Macaca fascicularis: one gene and its partner. The main gene of each other region encodes a partner of the protein of the gene in region 2 in a complex. Links are inferred from orthologs where the notes say so. Each region holds a gene or a part of one and is shown on either strand. Other genes may lie near its edges.

Region 1 (5,301 bases), on a different chromosome or scaffold from region 2:
AGTGATCTGCCCACCTCAGCATCCTAAAGTGCTGGGATTAAAAAAAAATAAAAAATAAAAAAATAAAATAGGACACTGCTGGAGTGAGTGCACCTTCCCTGGGTCTGAGGTCTCTGAACCCAATGCCCAGCTTTCGGTGCACATTTCCAGAATAAACAAATGAATGCGGTCAGTGAGCAAGAATAAATGGCTGTTATACACAATGGCAGCAGAAGCAATTATCCGAGGATATTAATGGTCAATAAGTCATGTTTCTGACTCAAAATTTTCCAGCTAAATCCATTTTAAAGCCTAATAAAATCAAGAACCTTTGTGTGTTTAACTCAAATCTATATAAAATCGGATAAACAACGTCAACCCCATGTAACAGTATGTGTTTTAGTGTAGATATCATTGGTGGAGGATACAATACACTCCCCCTGAAAAGTGAGTTATTTGATTTTATGTCACTTTAGCTATGATGCTGATATATAAACTCTATGAGGCTATGAGATGATGTCTTCAAAGCGTACTTTCAAATGTGTTACAAGAAGCTGACTCTTTAGAGCTCACCGTTCTATTCTTCAGACCATATCTCATCCCATGTTTTTCACAGATTCATAGTCTAATAATTTTTATTATATAGAAAGCATTTTCTGCTTCCCATATCATTTTATTATTTTTAAACTATGTTCAACTGTATAATCACATCAAAACAACGTTGGGTTGTCACAACTCCTGATCCTATTTGTCTTCTTGTTTTTTGTTAGTTTCTTGAGATGATGATTCTCTCTCCCCTTTAAAAAAATTCTCCCCTTTTTGAATTATTTTAATTTAATGCATTTAAAAAATTTTGGCTGAAGTAATTTCCAATTAACGTCTTTCCAGGCCGAGCACGGTGGCTCATGCCTGTAATCTCAGCACTTTAGGATGCTGACGTGGGTGGATCACTTGAGACCAGGAGTTTGAGATCAGCCTGGCCAACATAGTGAGACTTGTCTCAATTTATTTATTTATTTTTATTCATTCATTTATTTATTTTGGAGACAGGGTCTCCAGCGCACCACCCAGCTAATTTTTGTATTTTTTGTAGAGACGGGGTTTTAGCATGTTACCCAGGCTGGTCTTCAACTCCCGAGATCAAGTGATCCGCCAGCCTCAGCCTCTTAAAGTGCTGGGATACAGGCATGAGCTGCCGCTGTCTCTATTTTTTTTTAAGTTTCCTTCCAGAAATATATGTGGATGAGAGTATACTTTGAATACTTGCATATCCAAAGATTTATTTTACCCTCACACACCAACAACGGTTTAACAAGGTATGAAATTCTAAAGTTACACTTCTGTATCCTCAGACCTCTGGAAACGTGTGCTCTGCGATATTCTGCAGGTGAGCACTGGAGGGGGCAGCTCTGCTACTGCTCAGCCCACGTCGCTGTTTGAGATAACCTGCGTATTTACTGGTTTTTGTTGTTTCTTCAAAAACATTTCCCTTTGCTTTAAAAATTAGATATTTCATTCACCAGAATACAACAGCTAGGTTTATGTTGTTTTAAATTATTAATTCTTGCAGTGCAGTGGACAAGTCCTCTCAAACTCAGTATTTATTGTCTTCTAGATCTTAAATGAAAGTTGCATTCATTTATATGCAGGCATCTTGCTAAAATAATGGAATACCTTCTCTTCCATGTATAGCAGAGACCATAGACCTGAACGACTATTCTTCCTTACATCTCACAAAATTGCCATCAAAAGCCCAATTATTATTATTTCGTCTTAAAATTTAAAAGGCAACAAGTAGTATCAGGAAATCGTGATTTTTTTTTTTTTCATTCTACGGTAGAGTGCATAGAACCATGTTTTCTGATTGTTGTAGGAGCACACGTACTTGCTATAGGTAAGCTCTGAAAAATACTACTAGGAGAGCAAGCATCTGGTTCCTTGAAAACGCCGGGATTCGGCGCCCGCCCTCCTGCACGCGGTTACACAGAGAGCACGCCGGGGCCGCCACCCCCTCGTGCCGCTGGTTCTCCAGCGGAGCAAACTTCCCAGAGCCGGGGTTGATCTGCCTCCACAGTAAAACCCAAGTGCAGCTCAAGTTCTTTCTCAAAAGGTAGCAGGCCACACCCACCCACAACACTGTGCTTGGAATAAAAGCTTTGCGGTCAAGCTAAAAGGCCTTATCCATCTCCTTTCATCTGTGTTCTGAAACCAGACCGCCAGCCTCCGCGTGCAGCAGGAAGTGAGAGGCCAGGGTAGAGATCCCCGGGGATCAGACCCTGCGGAAGGCGCTCAGTCGAGGGCGAGACTTCCCAGAGAGGCTCGTTAATGAGAGCGAGCGAGCGAGCGAGCGAGCGGCAGGAAAAGCTCAAGGCACTGGGAGCGGCAGAACCGGCCCGTAGCGTCCTCCCGGCCAGGTCAGGGGAGCCATTCCCCCCCCAGTTTAAACGCTCCGCAGCCGGTCCGCGCCCGCCGCCCGTCCGGGTCCAGTCCCGGGATTCAGGAGCCCCTCCGGCCGCCGCTCCCCGGCGCCCACCAACCCCGCGGGCCCGGCGCGCTGTCCCCCGGGCGTGAGCCGACCGCGCGACCGGGACCTACCGAGCAGCAGGAGCCGGTGCGTCTGCTGCAGGTCGCGCTTCTGCTCGCGCAGCATGCGGTCGATGCCCCGGCTCACTTTCCTCGCCTCCTTGGCCGCCTCGCGCTCCTCGGCGCTCAGCTGCTCGGTGCGCTGCCGCTTCTCCTTCGGCTTGTCTGCTTTGGGCCGAGCGCATGCCGGGCTCCCGCCGCCGCCCCGAGGGAGCGAGGTCCGAGCCGTGTCCCTTGCGGCCGCCCGGACTGGGGCCGGGGCCGGGGCGGGCTGCGTGTCCTGCACCGGGGGCTCCGAGGCCGCGCAGGGGTCGTCCCCTGGGCCCCCGAAAAGCAGCGGCCGCAGACTGTAGCACAGACCCATGTGGGCGCGGCACGGCGGGGGCGGCGCGCGGGACTAGGGCGGGCTGGGCGCCGAGGGCGGCCTGGTTCCCGCGCCCAGTTCAGGCCGGCGCCCCTGCGGAGGGGCGAGAGGGGGCTACACCCGGACCCTGTTCAGCGCTGCCGGCCGCCAGCTGCGGGAAGGGGGTGCGGCAGGCCCGGGCCGAGGGCCACGGCCCCTCACTGCCCCAGAGGGCCATTTTGCATTTTCCGCTGGGTGCAGGGGGTGGCGGCCGCCTTGGCTGGAGATCACTTGATAACGCCCAGAGCTGGCCAAGCCGACGGGCCTCAGCGAGCCCGGCCCCGTTACCGTAAATGCCGCCGCCGGTCCAGCCCTCGCTACCGTAAATACAGCTGGCTTTCGTTACCGTAAATACCGCCGCGCGGGCGAGTATTCTGTACCGTAAATAATGCCGACTGAGCCCGGCGCGCAGCTGCGGACAGTACCGCAGTGGCTGTGCAGTCAGCACCTGGAGCCGCAGTTGCGGCAATTAGAAAACCAGGGTGGCTTTGATCTTGGGTCATAGTAACTGAGGACGGAAAGCTGGGTGCAGGGATAGCGACCGTGGCTTTAAAGCCTTCAGTTTCCCCAATCCATTGCTTGCAGAGATCTCTGCACCTTGCCACTCCCTTTTCTGCTCATTATCTTACACACATACCCGCACACTCTATCCCTACTTTAATACTACTATACCTTTGACCTCTACAAAATCTCCAATTCTGGAGTCTGGTCCACGACACCATTTTCAACAATTTCCACCCTTAAAAATGAAAACCGAGCACATATAATTGCCATGTACTATTTATATTTGCTGAAATGAGAATATGAGATTGTACACTGTATTTTCTTAATCCACAATATAGCGCAGAGAGGAGCAGATGCGCCTTCAGACTGGGTGCGCTCTCTCCATGACGCTGAGAAACAAGCCCGCCAGAGGTCCCATGTCTCCGGTTATTTCCCACTGCATGCACAGCATCTTGTAGAGCTTCTGCAACAGGTGAACATTTTAATATAGCTTGTGAATAACCTGCTGTAAGATGTGTTCCTTGATTTCCGGGAAAATGACATGTAATATTATAACTGATAGTTAAATACATCTCTTATTAACACACCAGATTAGGCTGTTTAATGAAACGTAGCATGCAGCGCAGTGTGCACTGCACCCGTTGGCACTAGATGTAAATACTACATTGGATTACATTTTTTCTTTTTGAGACAATCTGGCTCTGTCGCCCAGGCTGGAGTGCAGTGGTGCGATCACGGCTCACTGCAACCTCCACCTCCCGGGTTCCAGTGGTTCTACTGCCTCAGCCTCCTAAGTAACTGGGACTACAGGCGCCCACCACCACTGCCAGCTAATTTTTCATTTTCTTTCTTTCTTTTTTTTTTTTTTTTTTTTTCTAGGCATTTTTAGTAGAGACGATTTCACCATGTTGGCCAGGCTGGTCTCGAACTCCTGACCTCAAGGGATCCACCCACCTCGCCTCCCAAAGTGCTGGGATTACAAGCGTGAGCCACCGCGCGGGGCCTGGATTACATTTTTAAATCAAGAAGTTGGAGATCCGGCATTCACATTTCTTTTGGGGGTCCTGCTAATAACAAATGTGCATACATGTACTGCTTTTGACCTAACATTGTTCCCCAAATTTTGCTAAAATTATGGCATACTTTCAGATATTTGAGCAAAAGAAAGGATTATAGAAAATCTAACTTGGGAAAATAGAAAAAGTTACTAAATATCATTGTCATTTTCACTATTCATTCACTCATCCATCTGTCCATTTGTCCATTTAATTAAGTGCCTGCAGTATGCTAGGCATCCTTGTTGGTGCTGGGTGAGGCAGACATGGGTCCTCATGGAGTTTGTAGACTAGTGAGATAGAAATATACTCAGTCATAAAAACACAGGTAAATATGTTAATTGTAAATTGCGCTAATGCCATGAAGGGGAAAAACAGGATTCTCAGAGTAAGGGAAGGTCCTGTTTAAATCGGGGTGGGGAAGAGTCGTGTGAGAGGCAGAAAAGGCTTTTGAAGAAACTGAGACCCCAGAGACTTATCGCAATTGCTTTTCTATTACAACTTATTAGCTAACATTTATCAGTGTCATACAAGAAGGATAACATTTTGTTTGTATATTAAAACCAGCTGAAAATGAAAACAAATATTTTATGTTTTTTTTTTTTTTAAGACAGGATCTCTCTCTGTTACTCAGGCTGGAGTGGAGTGGCATGATCATAGCTCACTGCAATATAGAACTCTTGGGCTCAAGTAAGCCTCCTGCCTCAGCTTCCAGAATAGCCAAGATTACAGGTGTGCACCATCAGACCTGGCTAATTTTTTTAATTTTTATTTTTA
Region 2 (5,275 bases):
AGTGTTCTCTCACCCATTGCTTGAGTATAAAACAAACACAAACCAAAATAAAATTGAAATATACCTCCTCATGTTTTACCCCTGGCCAACTGCAAATTCTTTCATGCTCCAGCACTCCCTAAACATATTTGCCATGAATGCCGTCCTCTCCCCTGCTGAGCACATAAAATGTGCAAGGAAATAGATTAAAACTAGTTGTAAGCCTTTTCTCTTGGTGTAGAAACAGAATCATAGATGAGTACTGGCTGAATGAATGAAGTATGGAGTCATAAAGTCAATCCCTCCTCCAAACTCCAGGTAGCATTGATAGCTATCTCTAGTTCTGTTGATGTTTTTTGTTCTTATACAAAAACAGCAAGAAGACACCATTTCTCCCCTGCTGTCATGCTTTACTGCATCTCAGAATGACAGTCAGAGCTTCCAAAGGTCTCACACAGAAGACGCAAAAGGGCAGTCTGCAGGTCACAAGCAGCCTGCACACATAATTTGGTTAAACTGCATGCACATTTAAAAAAATGTTTTGAATCAGTTGCTATCTTTAAAAACATATGAAGCTTTTTTTCCGTAAAAATTTACAGCTTCCCCCAAAACTAAGATCAGGCAACCATGTGATGGAGCCCTACCGCACCTGCAGCTGCCCCCTTACTGGAGACAGGCTTAGCAGCACACAGCTCCCACTCAGCCCTCCTGTCCACCAGCCTCCTGCACTCAGGCTTCCTGACTGGTCCCGACTGGCAGTGGCGTTTACACCACAGAACTGTACCTCCTCTTGCTGACATTTAGGTCAGCTCCAGTTCAGCCCATTCTGTCTTCCTCGGAACCCAAACAGAGAGCTCACAGCCCTCTGACCACACAGTGCTCCTTCACCTCTCAGAGGACTCCCAGTGCACCAGACTGCAACACAAAGAGAACGGTTTGGATATCGTTGCGGCCTTGGATTTAGTTCCAAAATGTCAAGCAGGCCTCTTAATGAGGGGTCTCTATTCTTGATGTTATGGTGGTGGAGCTACAGGGCAGGGAGAAGCCCTGAGTTAAAGGACCCACCTGTGTGCCATCAGGAAACCACGTGAAAAGCATTACCAAGGCAAAAGATCTGAGTTCAATCTGGGCTGCTTACTTAGCTGGGCAAGAATGCTTCATCTCTCCTGAGCCTCAGTTTCCTCACCTATCAAATGGGCTAGCAGAGCTTCACAAGGCTGTTGTGTGAAGGAAGAAGTGTATATGAAAGTGCTTGTAAGCACCTGACAAGTATAAAATAAGACAGGTGTGGAGGAGGACCGGGAGAGGTGCTCTGGAAGAAGTAACAGAAATGGGTGCCATGGATTCCAGTTACAGTTGAAGAGCCTCTTTCTCTGTGACCTGAGGTCCCTCCCACCTCCTCCTTCTGCCCTGAGGGCCTGAAAAATGCCTCTCTTCACTTGCTCCCAGTAGCTGCAGTAAAATAGATTACAAGGGAAAACCGCCTATTCCCCCGAAGCAGTAGCTCTCCAGAACTCATCTGGAGGTCCAGGTCACTAGGGGAGAAGAGGCCGGGCTGAATCCACGCCTGGCTCCACGGAGGAGCCACAACGATGGCCATCCTCCCCCAGCCCCTAGCACGCTGAGACAGGCTCACCTGAGGTTATCAGTGTCTCCACTGGACAATCAAGGAACTGAGGTTCTTTCCCTCCAAAACCACACACCTCCTCACGGCTTCACAGGGAGGAGGATCAAATGACCTGCTCTTGAAAGCACTTTGCAAAAGGGATGAAAGGTACAATAACGAGCAAAAATAGCCTCCAAGATGTGATATAAAGCGATGCCAATGCGCAGCTGTGTGGTTACTGGTAAGCAGACCTCCGGGAAACACAGGAGACACCCCACTTATCCCACAGACGTTCTCATCCCATATGCCTTTGTCCAAAGGTTGCACGGGGGTTAAGCTTGGCCCAGAGGGCGCCGAGGGCTGGTCAAGTCCTCCCCTTTCCAAGAACCAGCCGAATCTCCCTCCCGCAGATCTGAGAGGCAGAGCCGCCCACCCCGCGGCGCCGGGCCACTTCTGGGCGCGCCATCCGCCGTCCGCCCAGGCTCGGGGAGACAGCGCCCTGAGTCCCGGCTGGGAGAAGGTTGCTCACCTGGTCCTCACGGATTCCAGCCGAGGGGCGTGACCGCCTCTCCCCACACCCTCTGCCCTGAGCGGGTCGTGAAGTCTCTTGGCCCCAGGGGGCGCGGCCCGCATCGGCCGAGTCCAGGGCACGCACCTACGCCCTCCCATCCAGCGGACTGGGTAGGGGGCCTCGGGCGGCGCCGGAGAAACGGGGGCGGGCTGCACCCAGTAGAATGGGGTGGGCCTCTCAGAAGCCCCAGGCCGCAGGCGAGGGGCGCGCCCCCAACATCTTCCCACAAAGAGCTCCAGCTCTCCAAAGCAAGGCGCAGTGCGGCCAGAGGACAGCCCCAACCCCTGAGAGGGGCGCGAGGAGAAGGGGAGCGCCGTGGGGGCGGGGACCCTTCCCGGCCCGCAACCTGAGCCCTCAACCCCGCACAATGAGTTTAGCCCGGCTCCATCCCGACCTCCCTCTCCGCCCGGGCCCGGGCCCGCGACCGCGTCCCACGCCGAGTGCTCACCGAGGAGCCGCTGCCGCGGCAGCTCAGGCCCCGGCCCAGCCGCCTCCCCGCCTCGGCCACCGCCGCCGCCGCTTCCTTCCTCCCCGCCGCGCTCCGGGACTGGAGGTTTCGGGTTTCAGCCCGCCGAGCCCCGCTTCGCTCCTCCCGCGGGCCAGCCACCAGCACGCGGACCCGGGCGAACGCAGGCCAAGTAACTTTGCGGCGCCCGCGCCCCGCCTTCCCCACGCCCGGCCGGGCCCCTCCGGCCCCCAAAGCCCCGAGTCGCCTCCCCGCGCCCCGCACCGCCCCGCCCCGCGCGGCTCCCGGCGCCCCTCCCCACCCGCGCCCCTTCCTTCGCGTCCGTCAGCTCGCCCGCCCTCCCGGCTGCTGCTTTCCCATTTCTTCCCACGAACAGCCTCGGCTGCTGCTCTTTGTCTCGCCCTTACCCTCTCGGCTCGCTGCACTTTTCTCCTGAAAACCTTTGTGGTCCCTAACTTAGGCCTTCCCTGTTCCCGTTCCTGCGTCCCAGTTCCAGCCGCTGGGACGTCCCCTTTTCCATGTCTCTCTGCATCACACAGACACTTTCAGATTCTTCCCGCAGGCTCCGCACAGTCCCATTCTCCTCCTCCAGTCCCGCCGTGGAAGATCCTGGTATCGCCTTTGCTGCTCACCTTTCATTCATCCAGCCGACGGGCACGAGCATCCATCTGCGTCCTGCCAGGCTCTGTCCCGGGCTCTGTGAATACCACAGTGAATCCGCCCCGGGGAGTGGGGAGTGGACGTAAACAGGTCTTCACACTGCTGCCCTGCACTCCCTCGGAGCCAAAAGGCCAGGGAGCAGTCATCACAAAACAAAGAGCGGGCGCTGTCAGCTCGGGGGACGGAACAGTTCCTTCTCAGAATGTTTGTTTTGTCTTCCTCACTCCCCACTTTCCCTGCCTGTCTCCAGCCTCCTACGTTTTCTATGCAGCAGTCTTAATAAGGGGATGGAAAGTTGAAGCACAGAGTAGAACTGCTAAAAAAGGAAAGAAGGAAGGACAAACAGGGCAACAAAATAATCAGGTAAGAAGTTATAAAGCCCAGTTCACTAAACTTCAGCAAAAGAAAAAAAAAGACAAAAAAACCCTGGTGCTGTGCTTACAGCAGGATTCACATTCCTCTGAAATCCATCTGCTTTGATAAATACATTAATTATTCCCTTGTCTACAGATTGACACTGTGGGAGATGCTTCCTTATTATTAATATTATTGGGCCACTGAGGCACCATTTAGAACAGTAATTTACTGTCTGGCACCTACCAAACACCCACATTGCTCCGGGGACAAATGGGATAATGGGGAGAAAAAAGTAAATGGATGCCTTAATATTCCTATGGGATAAATGCTTTATTTGGTCAAAAACTGGAAACTGACACTCCACTTAGAGTCTAGGTCACCCGGCAAGCCAGACCCTTGAAGGAGCTTAAAGCTTTCTGTTCTTAAGAGTATTTTAGACACTTATTTTGAACTCCCTGTTATTTATTTAATTTACACTGGCTCAGCTGTCGGCTAAGCTCTATGAGCCTGAGGGAGTGAGTTAACCTTCCTGAGTCTCAGCTTATTCATACACAAAATGGGGATACTCATACCTTCCTATCTGTAGAGTTGAAAAGGTCAAATGAGGTCATGTAACTAAATCACCAGTGTCATAAATTCGGAGAACTAAACCCTTTTGAAAATTGGTATTCACGAAAGGTCTGAAAATATATGCCATGGACTGGCATGGCAAGAATGAGAGTAAAAAATAAACAGTTACGGCTGTTTTGGCTCCATACCCATTCATGATGCAAAAGATGTCCTTCATACTGAACAACCTTTTCCCATACTTACTCTATTTCATTTTGAACTGTTCAACAGAAGACATTTTTTTTTCTCCTGCTGCTCATTATCAAATACATTATTTATCACAAAGATTTTTCTTTTTTCTGAGCTCATAAGCTCAGAACTTACTGTGCATTCAGGGATAGAAATTGCTGCCAACAAATGCATTTTCAATTGCTGTCTTAAGATTTTTTTTTCCCTTCTGGAGTTAATATTGAGCTATGAGTGAATTCAGTCAGATGCAGAGAAAACAAACAAATTGTTATTAAAGTAATTATTTCACTGTTTATCATTGTATAGGTGATAATTGTGAAAAACGTGACTGCTTTTGTGCAAGAATGTATTTTTTTTTTCAGAAAAAGAGAAAGATACACACTAATTCTCCTTTCCCAAATTAGTTTAATAAACCATTCTGTTTTAGAGACATCCACAAAGACTTATAAACTAAAATGAGAGGCCATGTCCAACTGAACCTCACATGTGTGTTGAATAATTTATATATGAAACATGTTTTATGTAAAATATCATTTCAGTCTAGCAGTCCACATAAAACTGGTGAAAGCAAAATTGTGAAGTATGCTATTTGTTCCACGTGGGATGTTATTTCCCCCACTCTTTACAGGCCAAGCCCTTCCTGCCCTTCACATCTCAGCTTAAATGTCACCTCCTCAGAGAAGTCTTCCCTGACCAATCTCTCCTTTTTTTGATTAGAGATGGGATCTTGCTATGTTGCCCAGGCTTGTCTTTAACTCCTGGGCTCAAGCTATCCTTTCACCTTGGCCTCCCAAAGTGCTGGGATTATAGATGTGAGCCACTGCACTCAGCCCCTGAC

Evidence for each region. Proteins that work in one complex are often made in the same cells at the same time.
Region 1: the proteins of GPR161 (region 2) and GNAL are in contact, whole or in part, in a cryo-EM structure (PDB 8KH4), measured with the Homo sapiens proteins. The link is inferred for Macaca fascicularis from reciprocal best matches to the Homo sapiens genes GPR161 and GNAL. Residues at the interface, in NP_001254539.1 of Homo sapiens: Arg125, Ala128, Val129, Leu130, Pro132, Met133, Tyr135, Pro136, Met137, Ile139, Ile211, Val214, Ala215, Lys218, Ala219, Lys267, Ala268, Thr271, Trp327, Asn328, Lys329, Arg332; in NP_001135811.1 of Homo sapiens: Ala41, His43, Lys203, Val204, Phe206, Phe363, Cys366, Arg367, Asp368, Ile370, Gln371, Arg372, His374, Leu375, Gln377, Tyr378, Glu379, Leu380, Leu381.

Annotation. Positions count from the first base shown.
Region 1 is NC_088392.1:79,223,464-79,228,764, forward strand, and holds the start of GNAL (guanine nucleotide-binding protein G(olf) subunit alpha), read right to left. Parts: upstream 3,234-5,301; 5' UTR 2,927-3,233; coding exon 2,575-2,926; intron 1-2,574. UniProt on the Homo sapiens protein: Guanine nucleotide-binding protein (G protein) involved as transducer in olfactory signal transduction controlled by G protein-coupled receptors (GPCRs).
Region 2 is NC_088375.1:25,800,900-25,806,174, forward strand, and holds the start of GPR161 (G-protein coupled receptor 161), read right to left. Parts: upstream 3,552-5,275; 5' UTR 3,262-3,551; coding exon of another isoform or gene 3,255-3,261; exon of another isoform or gene 3,030-3,254; intron 2,706-3,029; exon of another isoform or gene 2,255-2,705; coding exon of another isoform or gene 2,115-2,254; intron 1-2,114. UniProt on the Homo sapiens protein: Key negative regulator of Shh signaling, which promotes the processing of GLI3 into GLI3R during neural tube development.